Linked DNA regions of Drosophila melanogaster. The gene in region 2 interacts genetically with the main gene of each other region. Each region holds a gene or a part of one and is shown on either strand. Other genes may lie near its edges.

The links. Genes that interact genetically often act in the same process or in processes that back each other up.
Region 1: of trx (region 2) and Abd-B, changing one suppresses a phenotype caused by changing the other (phenotypic suppression), as found in Drosophila melanogaster (one study listed by BioGRID).

Annotation. Positions count from the first base shown.
Region 1 is NT_033777.3:16,928,204-16,935,819, reverse strand, and holds the start of Abd-B (abdominal B), read left to right. Parts: upstream 1-1,577; 5' UTR 1,578-2,788; coding exon 2,789-3,449; intron 3,450-4,206; coding exon 4,207-4,418; intron 4,419-4,502; coding exon 4,503-4,704; intron 4,705-5,967; coding exon 5,968-6,182; intron 6,183-6,239; coding exon 6,240-6,431; coding exon of another isoform or gene 6,432-6,590; 3' UTR 6,591-7,616. UniProt on the Drosophila melanogaster protein: Sequence-specific transcription factor which is part of a developmental regulatory system that provides cells with specific positional identities on the anterior-posterior axis.
Region 2 is NT_033777.3:14,283,879-14,288,671, reverse strand, and holds the start of trx (trithorax), read left to right. Parts: upstream 1-1,768; 5' UTR 1,769-2,463; intron 2,464-4,793. UniProt on the Drosophila melanogaster protein: Histone methyltransferase that methylates 'Lys-4' of histone H3 (H3K4me). H3K4me represents a specific tag for epigenetic transcriptional activation.

The sequences.
Region 1 (7,616 bases), 2.6 Mb from region 2:
AGTTTATCCCTTTAAAATAATTCTGCGTGTTAGCAGAGTGGTTCAATAGGAAAAATGTCAATCATACTTTATTTCTATTTATAAATAAAAAAGTTGAATAATAATTTCAATCGAAGAAGTTATTTTTGGAAATAGATTGCGGCAGTTAATTACAAGTTTTGTATTATTATAAGTAGAATTCTTGAAGTTTTTTTGGGGTTTACTTGATCAACTTTGTTATGTAAGCAGTTGGACTCTTCAACTAAATGCGTGATGTGAAAAATTAAAAATGAATGTTCTGATTTCACATAAGAAATAATATTATTCGTCTCCAGTCGCGATGACTTCTGACATTTTCTTAAGCCCCTGCTCAAATGTATTATTGTAATTGCTAAGTATGGATTTTTATGCGATTGTACATACATTTTGTTGTCAAACGGGTTGAGAGTTGTTCTCATCGCATCCTTTTTACGATTTGTTAACATTTCCTTGGCCTCGACTGCGTGCCTTTTGCTTTTCTTCCAATGGCAATTGCCATAAAATTCCCATAATTGTCCATTGCAGCGTAAAATTTGGCAACTGCCTTTGGAAGTGAGACAAGGAGGGGAATCTGTAGAAGAGCCAAAAGGGAGAAAGGATGTTGAGATAGGGGTGAAAAGAGACCCGGGGTTTCCTAACAATTGGGCTGTCATAATTTGCTGACTGAACTGGCGCACGCATGTATTTGTTTAACTAATTAGCATTAATTAGTCACTGCGCTTGACGACTCGTATAATTGGTCGCGATCCATGGTCTTTATGCAGTGAGTTTTTCTGTATGTTGCTGCTGTTGTGGTAATCGATAAAAAGCGCCAACAACAAGCCAACTAACTACACACAATGTGGTGCCATCTACCACGCCTCCCCGCCCCCATTCCATCGAAATCTCGGACATAGATGGCGCTGTGGTGCGCGCGTGTTAAGTATTCAAATCAGCCCCCAGAATCGGGCAGTAAGAGCGGGCGGTGAGTCTGAGAGCGTTTTTTGTTCGTTGAAGAGCGGATGCCTTCACACGTACACTGTGCGTGTGTGTTTCGCCCTCGATGACCCCCTGTGACTTGGAGCACCTGCTGAGCTCAGCGAATTCCAGAGCCAGTCCCAGTCGAAGTGCGATACCATCTTTACCTCATTGAAGGCGCTAGTTGAAACAGTGCTATTTCCCCCAGCAACATCCAAAACTCTCTTCGGCTCCCCCCACTTACACACGCACACTCGCTGACAGTCTGGGATCCACACAGACGCTGTATACAGTGTACGTGTGCATAACGCGCCACAAGAGAGCCGCACCAACTGCCATCAACATAACATCAACCACCACCACCATCAATCTGAGTGCTTGTGCAACATGCGCATGTCCGCGCTCTCTTCCAAGTCACACGGACGGGGAGGCACACACACACACACACACACACACACACACACACACACTGGAGCGGGCTGGCGCCGCTGCGCTTAGAGTTTGTGTTCGTGTGCTGGTTCTGGTTCTGGTCTTGGTCTTGTGTTGTCGGTGTGCCGTGCCAGCGATGTGGATATGTTGTCGCCGTGCGCGTTGCTGCCGTCAGTGTAGATTTGTGCTTCGCTCTGTTCGGTTGGAAGGCGCGCGGGCGTCCAGCAGCAACAACAGCAACTACAACAACAGCCGAGGCAAGCGGCCCTGCAACTTCGTCGAGGACTGGGACTTGAACGATTTCGTACTCGCCGTCCATTCACATTCACATTCGACTGGGAGTGTTTCGTTCGAACGGTTCGAAAAATACAAGTTGAACATTTTCGAAAAATTTAACTGAAAGAAGAAACGTTTTTGGAGTCGTATAAAAAATTAAATCAAAAAACAAAAAACACAATCAAAACATCGTGTCGCCGGCGTTGTGAGGAGAAATAATAACATTTTTGTTAACTGTTGCAAACATTGCCTTTAATTGTTTGTTTTGGTCGTAAAATCAAATTTTATGACCAGCAACATAAAAAGCGAACGCCAGCAGCAGCAACAACAACGACTGCAGGCCCCACAAATAATAAACTATTTATGATAATTATAAAAGAGAGAAGAAAATCAAAAACAAACGCCAACCGAAAAAAAAAGAAAAGTGAAAAGAAAACATTAACTGACAAAGGAAAAATTGGAAAAGTTTTGGAAAATTGGATTGACCGAATGAAAACTGAAAAAAGCCAATTTGAAAATACTGCGTGAGTTGCTGACGACCGCAAGCACCCTGTGAAATTCAAGCTGATTCGATCCCCTGTGCAACAACAAAGTTACTCTCTTCGCCCGCTCTTTAGGCAGTGTGCGTGTGTGAGTAAGTCGGCGTGTGCGTGTGACCGCTGACGGACGTTTGTGTGCGTGTGCGGTACGCAAATAAAAGGGGCAAAACTCGAGTAAAGGTGCTCTGAATATTAAAAATAAAAATTATTAAGTCGCGAAAAAAATATAAAGAGACTTAAACAATTAGAAAGGCGTCACTCAGAGGAGTGAGAAAAAAAAGACAGAGAAAGGTCGGTGGGTCGAGGCGATCGACCCCACTGCACCGCCTTTATCCTCGCCGCCGCAGTTCGAGTGCAACGCGTCCAAGATAACCGTAAATATTCCACCCCTCCCCCAAACCCCAACCATCCCGCTGGCGTGCGCTCTCTACGACCCCCACGATGTCTCGGCAGTCGGGTCGCACGCCGCTGCCGGGGCGTGGTGGGGGCATCACACACACACCCACACCCACGTACCCACCGCCCCGCACCCGCATCCGCATCCCCAGGCGCATCCCTCCCTGCCCGTCATGCAGCAGCACCATCTGCAGCAGCAGCAACAGCAGCAGCAGCAGCAGGAGCAGCAGCATCTGCAGGAGCAGCAGCAGCATCTGCAGCAACTGCATCACCATGCGCACCACCACCTGCCTCAGCCTCTCCACACCACCAGCCATCACCACAGCGCGCATCCCCACCTGCAGCAGCAGCAACAGCAGCAGCAACATGCAGTCGTCGCCTCCTCACCCTCCTCGGTGCTCCAGCAGCAGCAACAGCAGTCAACTCCCACCACACATTCCACGCCCACGCATGCGGTTATGTACGAGGATCCTCCGCCTGTGCCACTTGTCGCCGTACAGCAGCAACACCTCCCCGCTCCGCAGCAGCAGCAGCAACTTCAACAGCAGCAGCAACAGCAGCAACAACAGCTGGCGACAACACCGGTGGCCGGCGCCCTCAGTCCTGCCCAAACACCCACTGGACCCTCCGCCCAACAACAGCAACATCTCACATCGCCCCACCACCAGCAACTGCCGCAGCAACAAACCCCGAACAGTGTCGCCAGCGGCGCCTCCTCGAATCTCCAGCAGCAGCAGCAACAGCAGAATGCTGCAGTTGCTCCTGGCCAGACGCAGATCGTTGCGCCGACCACGGCGAGTGTTTCTCCCTCCAGTGTTAGTTCTCAGAAGGAAGGTGAGGTCCCAGAAATATAACTTTCCTTGGGGTTGAAAACCAGCGGATTTCTTATTGGAACTCCATTGGTTATGGGCTTTCAAAGATCGTTGGGAAATATATTTTTTGAAATTTTCTACATCTGAACTGGAAAACTCTCGAAATAAATTGGGGACGTTAAATTGGGAACGGGGTCGTTCCACTTGTTTTTTTTTCCCCCCAGTTGCAATAACGTTTCAGTTGTGCTGATTGCAGCACGTTTTTCAAGGCTGATAAGGCTTTTCTTTAACTCTCCCAGGAATCGTCACGCATTTAATTTATTTACTCAAAATATTTGCGTCTGTTTTATCATTATAGACTATATAATTGCAGGGTGGTAACAACTTTAATTTTGTAAGGAAATTAAAAATTTTTAAAAATATTGTTTGTGAGTGTACTGAAGTTCTTCAAAACTGCATTGGTTTTTTTTTAAAGAGTTTACACAAAAAAAAAAATTAAACGATGATTTGAAACGTAATCGTTATGGTAACCATTTTATTACCTTAAGTGTTGACACGTGTTAAATATACAGATTTATATATAGACGAGGTGTGAATGCACCCACATCCATGACATCGACAAACAATCTAAGGGTTATAGGCACAAATGCCACGCCAAGTGATAAAATGCCAAATGATCAAGGAGGTCGATTTGATCATAGACAGTCGTTAAAATTAGACTTACCAGCCCTAGTGCCAATATTAACAGCAGCAAATCTGCGCTTATCGTTTACTTTCAGACATCAATATGTCCATACAATTAGCGCCACTGCATATACCCGCCATCCGGGCCGGTCCGGGATTCGAGACGGACACCTCGGCGGCGGTCAAGCGGCACACGGCACACTGGGCCTACAACGACGAGGGATTCAATCAGCATTACGGCTCCGGGTACTACGACCGCAAGCACATGTTCGCCTATCCTTACCCAGAAACGCAGTTTCCGGTTGGTGTAAGTATGGCCACAGCGCCACCCACGCCTCCACATCAGTTGTAAGCAACTTCGTTCCAACCCGACCTCATTTCTCCCCCGCAGCAGTACTGGGGCCCCAACTACCGCCCCGATCAGACCACCTCTGCCGCAGCGGCGGCGGCCTACATGAACGAAGCGGAGCGCCACGTGAGCGCCGCCGCCCGACAGTCCGTCGAGGGCACATCGACGTCCAGCTATGAGCCGCCCACCTACTCCTCGCCAGGCGGCCTGCGCGGCTATCCCAGCGAGAACTACTCCAGCTCAGGTGAGTCCAGACCGGCCAGAGTCGGCACACTTAAGGGTAACGAGGTTAGGCACACTGGAAATAATTTTGAGCATCTTGCAACTCTAGTTTGGGAGGAGAAATTTTAAAGATTAAAAATTAAAAATTTACTGTTTACAATTCTTAAAATTTTTAATAAAATATTTGGTTATTCATATGAAATTAAATTAAAGTGAAAAATTATACGAATTCAAAATTCTGTTTAAAAAGAGGCGTTCAAATTCCACCTAAATGTTTTTAATTGTAAAATATATATTTATAGACCGTCAAATTTTCCAATGAATCGATAATTATTTGGAAGTGTTTTTTATATGGTGCTATTATTTTTTTTCCTAAAAGCCAAGCCAATTATTTAAACAGCCCTAAAATATTAAGCATCCTACAATATAAAGTTCAAGATTATTTGATTTTCCTATGTGCACTAGACTTTTCGTCGTCGTATCGGTTGAAATAGCAAATTGCGAAACCGTCAAGTTTGTCGTTCAATTAGCGTAGTGCAAAACGGCCCATAAATCGATACTCGCTATTTGGCTAGCGTTACGCCTTTATGTGGGTGCGAAAGTCATTGGGGTTTGCATTCTATGGGGTTGCCTGTTTATGTTCGTGTCTTATCACCAGGTGTTTTTCAACTGCCAGAATTGTATCTGTCGACTAGTCATATTTTCCCAGTAGTATCCATGGTATCCATAGTAAAGACTCGTTATTATGGCGGAATATGTCAGTTAAGTGACCTCGCCAGCCAATTTTACAATTGGAATTCAGGTCTCTTAGGCTCGATAATTAATTTCCAATCTGACCTAACTGTCCTAACTGTTCAATGCTACCAAGACTAATCGAAGAAATCAGATTAGATTCGAAAAGCTCTTCACTCGTGCTGAACTAGCGTTTAAATTAAAATAAATCCAACTTGTCACTTTATTTCAACATTAATTTAATTGCTTCATTTGGTCGGCCAATGAGCGGGAACGAATGTATTCATTTAGTGTTATCCACTCGAGTGTGAATATGGGCCTCATGCCAATTCGGAGCTCCGCTCCCCGTACCGCACCAATTAAGAGGCCATAAATGAGGAATTGAATAATTTCGTATTACGCTTATTGCTAAACAATTTCCGTAATTGCTCTATAAACTTAACGATCTGATATTGCACCGAACACCGAGCAACAAAACCATCGGACCACCCGCACTTGCGGTTTAATGAAGTTAACCATGTAGTTTAACCCCATTACTTGATGATGTTTTCAGGAGCCTCTGGTGGATTATCCGTGGGAGCAGTGGGTCCTTGCACGCCCAATCCCGGACTGCACGAGTGGACCGGTCAGGTGTCCGTCCGGAAAAAGCGCAAGCCGTACTCGAAGTTCCAGACCCTGGAGCTGGAGAAGGAGTTTCTTTTCAATGCGTATGTTTCCAAGCAAAAGCGCTGGGAATTGGCCAGAAATTTGCAGCTGACCGAGCGACAGGTGAGTCCATAAACCTACTGACTTGAACTGAATTCATTAAACAGGCGTTCCTTTCAGGTCAAGATATGGTTCCAGAATCGGCGCATGAAGAACAAGAAGAACTCACAGCGCCAGGCCAATCAGCAGAACAACAACAACAATTCGAGCAGCAACCACAACCACGCGCAGGCGACCCAGCAGCACCACAGCGGCCACCACCTGAACCTTAGCCTGAACATGGGTCACCATGCCGCCAAGATGCACCAGTGACCCTTGGACAACAGCAGCGCTGGCGCCATGGGCTTTGCCACCTACTAGCAGTTAGCCAATCCGAGTTCGGGTAACCCCAGCTCGAATCCCAACCCCATGTCCGATCCGAATCACCATCATCTAATCAAGAACGAGCTGGCCATGGACTTTCCATGCTAGTCCAGCGATTGGAAGGGCGATTCCAGCCAGGCCGAGTTCAGTCGGTTAAATGTACAAAAACCAGAGATCTCTAGCATGCGGGATAGGAATATGTGACCACAATGAGGAGCAAGGATGTGGATGAGCAACTGCCCAGAAGTGCGCAGGCGTCGCTGATGTGTGACCAACCGACGTTGATGCAAATGCAGTTTATTATTAAGTCAGTTCTACGGATCCCAGAGATCCAAGCCCCAACACGATAATGCAGCTTAGTTCGGTAGTTGAATATAGATACGAGTAAGATGAAGAGTAAGCAGCAGCAGTAGCAGATGCACTTGAAATTCGCAACTGTACGAAAATATATGTATGTACGTATTTCTCTCAACGCTCTCATTAGCCTAGGCGAGCACTATGAATTTTCCGAACTATAAATTATGAATATGAATATACTTAAACGTCAGTGAATATAACCCCGCATAAATTATGAATACACGCGTTCGAGTAGTAGATTTTACCATACCTATCCAATTAAGAGCGGCCACAAGGCGGCTGAGTTAGGCTGAGCAGCAGAACACATTTTAGACCCAGATAAATGTTCTTGAAACACAAATTGAAATTGTTTAACAATTTTCGGACCCCTCACAGCTCCGCAAACAAGAAGACACACTCCGCAGTCTAGGATAAATTTTGTCGTATAATGTTCGTCGTGTCGTGTCCTTTGATACCTTCTAAGTTCCTGTATATAAACTAAGACATTGCGCTGATTTCCGGCCGAAGCGAGCACTCGATAACTAAATTACATCAGATATATGTATATGTATATTGCGTACACGCAGAGATATTCAATATTTGTATAATATGAACTCGGATTCGATTTTAGCAAATGGTTAATTGTAAGTTGCAAAAATTTCAATGAGTGTGTGCATGTTTACCCCATAGTTGAAGTCGCTTTCGAATTAAATTAACTCTTAAACCAAGGAAAACACTTAACAAAACTACTCGTAAAGCTAAAGCAACAAAAACTTAAAAGATACACACTTAACAGAA
Region 2 (4,793 bases):
GTATGTAAGTATGTACCCGCAAACTTGTGATAATCATTTAAGCAGCTCTCTCTGTTTTTCTGGCACTCATCTTGATTATTAAATGATAACTGGATGACGGCGACAGGTGCACAAGTACAATGATTATCAAGCTCCTCGCGTTTTCTATTAGGTTTTATTGTTTTTTTTTTCCCGAGTTCGTCATAGGATTAATTAGCATGCATGATAAGCCCACGATCTGTGGAGGAATCCCTTTTTCAGCGATGAGCTGGAAATTTTCCAACCAACGCGGACGTCATCGTTTGCATTGCAGATTGCGGTAAAAGTTGAAGAACTATTTTTGGAAATCCGGTGATAGTGGCTATACGCCCGCTGCTTCTGCTGCTGCTGTCAAAACAAGACTTTCATTATGATTAGGCCAACGAATTCGTGTTGTTTGCGGCCCAGATAAGCGCCGAATGACTGTCACAGTACAAGGTAATCCATGTTAGATATACATATATTGTTATCGATACCCCTTATCACTGCGCACCTAAACGGACCGACTAACCATGAGGTGCGGAATGCGTCAGCTGCCAAAAACAAAGCTCGATCTGCCCGTGTTGCCAATAGCTGATAGTCCAAGTTACAAGGAGTTGATCAATTTGTTTATGTTTTCGTGTTTAATAGAAGGAATGCCAGGGAAATTGATTTAGTACCTATTATTAGCATTCATTTGAATTATTTCATTTACTAGCAATAATGGTTGTTATGATTATAGTTTCATTATTATTACTTTTTTTATTTTATTATATTATTTTGATAATATTTAGTTATTTATTATTTTTATTTACATAAGTAATTACTAAATTCAGGCCACAACTATTAACACGTCCTTCTTGGTGAACTTTCTATACTAATAAGGTTAATTGCAATGCCTTTTTGTGAGATAACATCTTCTGAATGTGGGTTACCATTTTTTGTCACTGAACAAGAAATTTACAGGCGCTCAGTGATTCAATTTCCTGCGAATTTTTTGTTCACTTCGGTGAAACGTCGTCGAAATGACGTCGATTTAAGCCACCGAATTACCGCCCTACGCTTCTCGCCCGGCAACAGTTGGATTTACATTGTGAATCAAATATGTGCTAATTGAGCGGACACGTTCGATTCGTTGACCAAAATCTATTTGTTTACATCGCGCCTTGCGAATGCATAAAGCCTTTGGGTGTCTTCCCAAAAAATTGGTTAATAACTTTGGCAAAGAACCAAATGCGAAGTGGACGCAGCTGACAAGTTGTTTATGTGTGTCCGCACATTATGGCTTCATTATGAAATCGCAACTAATCCGAACTTCATATACTGGCATAATGGAATTGCCAATGAGGTGATTGATATTTGCCACTTAGAATGTGGACTAGGAAAATCTCCTGTTTTTTAAATTGTTTACCGAAGCGGTTTCTTTTCTTTCCTTCTTTCCCAATAAGATACCGAAGGGTACTTAAAAATTATATTGAACGGAAAGTGTGATAATATTGGATATTCAAAAATTCAAGGTTAATGTGTTTTGTACACTCCATTCTAAACATTTTAATTACCACAAATTAAACAAATTAGCAGTTACACCGAAAGTGGTTTTAAATTTTGAAAAATACTGTTTTGTAGCAATACGCTTTTGTCTTTGAACTAGCAGAGACACATTCCGTATTTAACCAAGACACACACCCCGCAGAGCAGAGACACCCTACTAAAATATCGGTGTGACCAGGTCTGCACACACATGAATTTATTTGTAAGTCTCACAGTATTTTTTATAGTTATCGGCGCGGTCACACTGTCCGGTCGTTTTGCTTTGCTATTTCCATTTCGCTCGTCGAAAAAACGCAGAAAATGTGGAAAATAATTGATAAACTGTGCTAAATAGTGTGTGTGAATATGGTATGCAGTGTCTGCCAATGAAATTACATCGAATTTGTGGCGTTCAATTGTTAAAAAAGTGTGAAAATCGAGAGCAGAAAACCTGATTTCTGTGAAGAAGAAGCAGGCATTTTTCATCGTCGTAAAACCCATACATACAGACACCCGCACACACACACACGCGCATACGTAGCAACATATGTATATACGAAACGCGCGGGCGCGAGAGAGAGAACGAAATAGCAAGAGAGCGGGCCATTTCGGTTCGTGTGTGCGTGTACCTGTGCGTTTGTTTTGTGAGCGCAGAGCGACAGAGTGAGAGAGCGGCGAATGTGAGAGCCAAAGCAAAAACCAAGAAATAAGTGAACGAAAATAAAAACGAAAATCGCAATCTCCACCCCTGTATTTTGTGTTTACTAGTGTTTTGAGTGCGTGTGTTTCTGTCCCGTTTTGTTGTGAAATTGTCCCAAGTGTGGATTATTTTCGTTTTCGTATTATATTCGTGCACCAAGGATGCCAAATGGTAACAACAACCCCTGAAACGGTATCGAATCTCAATCTGCATCTGGATACACGCTCGACAGCAAGGTAATTATAAGATCGCCGCGATAAAAGGCGTCGCCGGCTGCCGATGAGTCAGTCTGCCGTGAATATATATCAATGGATATTTGCGCACATATATAAGCATGCCAGATATTGATTTGGAATGCACCCGGAGATACTGTACACCATTGCACACCACATCACATTATCATATCCCATCCCGTCGATTTCATATTCATAAAGTCCCCACTAACCTTTGTAGACCTCTAGTCAGTAGTTTAGATTGTTGTTTTTAGCTAGAAAGAATAGGAAAGTGTCGTTCAATTATTCACTCGATAATGCAAATTAGGCTGCACAACAAATACTGTTAGTTTATGGCCCACGCTGCGATTTATGTCTACAGTGGGACCTCGTTGAGTGCGACTAGCAGCAGATGGTAGCATTTTTGATTTAGTTTTGTTCTATTTTGTAGTACTAGTAAGCAAGTCTTGTTTCTGGAAAACCTGTTGATTTAATAACAACTTTCTTAACAACGAATTCATTAGTTAATATTTTTATTTTAATCTAATACTAACAGTTTAAAGAGGAGGCGAAATATTTTTTGCTTAAAATAAGTACATCTATTATCATATAATCATATGACTCCTGAAGTTAATCCATCAAATATTTCATTCTTATAAGAAACAATATTATTCGTTTTCTGTTAGCCAGGGGGATTTTACTGCAAGTTTCCATCTACGACGTTTTCCATTATTTACCACCCGTAAAACGAACGGTAAATGACAGTCGCTAACACACCCACACACACAGCGGCGAGCTATAATAAAGCATCGCCGATAAATAAAACTTAATGTGTGACCAGTTAATTGCTTTTGTTGTCGCCTCATTCTAAATCAAATCACTCTCTCGCTCTCACCGTCTCTTTCTCTCTCTCTCTCTCTCTCTATTGGGCTCACATGGCCAAAGTGTTTGTATAACTAAAATTGCTGTTTGTTTTGTTGCTGGCGCTGTTGAAACTTTTAATAAATTATACAATAAAATGAAAAACGATCTCAGCAGCAGCAGGAGCTAAATCGATTGCCGCTGCCGTTCGCTGCCTAGAAGCTGTTGAATAATTACAAAATAAATATATGTACTTGTACATTGGCTGTTTGAGTATTTGTTGACGCCATTTTTTTATTTGCCATCAAAAAGGCAAATTCCAAATCGGCTAGTGTCGATGCCTGTGTGTTTGTGTGTGGGAAACTACGCGCCAAACAACATTGAGGCGCAAAATCGCCAAATGAGTAATTGCGCATATTAAAATTCGCCTTTCAAAAGTCGACCAACTGAGCCGTAAGCTAATGCGAGATCTTGAATGGGAATGAATATGCGATGCGGGCCAACCGATGCTCATCCGAATGCATTTTCACGCTCCACTGCGTCCGCATCTCGTCGATCACGCCTCACAGAATCATTGCACATTTGAATTCGGATGGGTCTACTCACAAATACAAATTTTAAGATCATTTGATGGGACATTTTCAACGGGTTTAAATTAAAATATCCTTGTTTACATAATTCCTATTGTAAAATCGAAAAAAGTCATTTGTTTATTTGTTCTTCTTCTCCAAGATAATCTATTTTCTAAAACATGAGCACTACAATGCTTCGCTTAGCGAGCGATCACTGTAGGTGTGATTTCTATTTGCTTCGGTGGCCGAATTATTAGTTTGCATTGTTGCTACCAGCTAGCTGTATTTACACCTTTATTTACAGTGCGTTTTGAGAGGCTGCAGCTGCCAGCTGAGTTGAATTTATTTTACCTTGTGTTTCGTTACCTTTTACCACCACCACCAACACACAGCATAAACACCACGAAACCAGATGCCCACACACGCAAACAAACATTCGCGTACAAGTATTTAGTTCATGTTTCGTGGCAAATTGGACATCAAAATTGCGAGCTGCCAAGTCGGCTCTCAATATTCAATGCCCAATGCTCATGGCCCACAGAGATACAGATATCCATCCGACCATCTCTATCCATCCATCCCAACACCAATCCATGCGGCACCCACACCACGACACCTTTCGCACATTTATTGGCGCGCACATTTTTCATGTTTCACCTTTGGCTGCGTGTTTTGATTTACAAGCAAATACGGTGTATGTGTGTGTGCACAAGCATACAAACATACACTCCCCCGCGTGTGCTCTCTGCCGCTCTTTTTGTTTTTGGGGAATGGGGCTCACGCTCATTTGTTGATTCCACCTCTACAGCTGCTTTCTCTGGGCTCTCTCATTGTTGTACTGAGAAAAATTTTGCGGTTAATGTTGCCAATTATTGATCAAATAATTATGTATTAATTCAAAGAATATTTAATAAGTGGAGT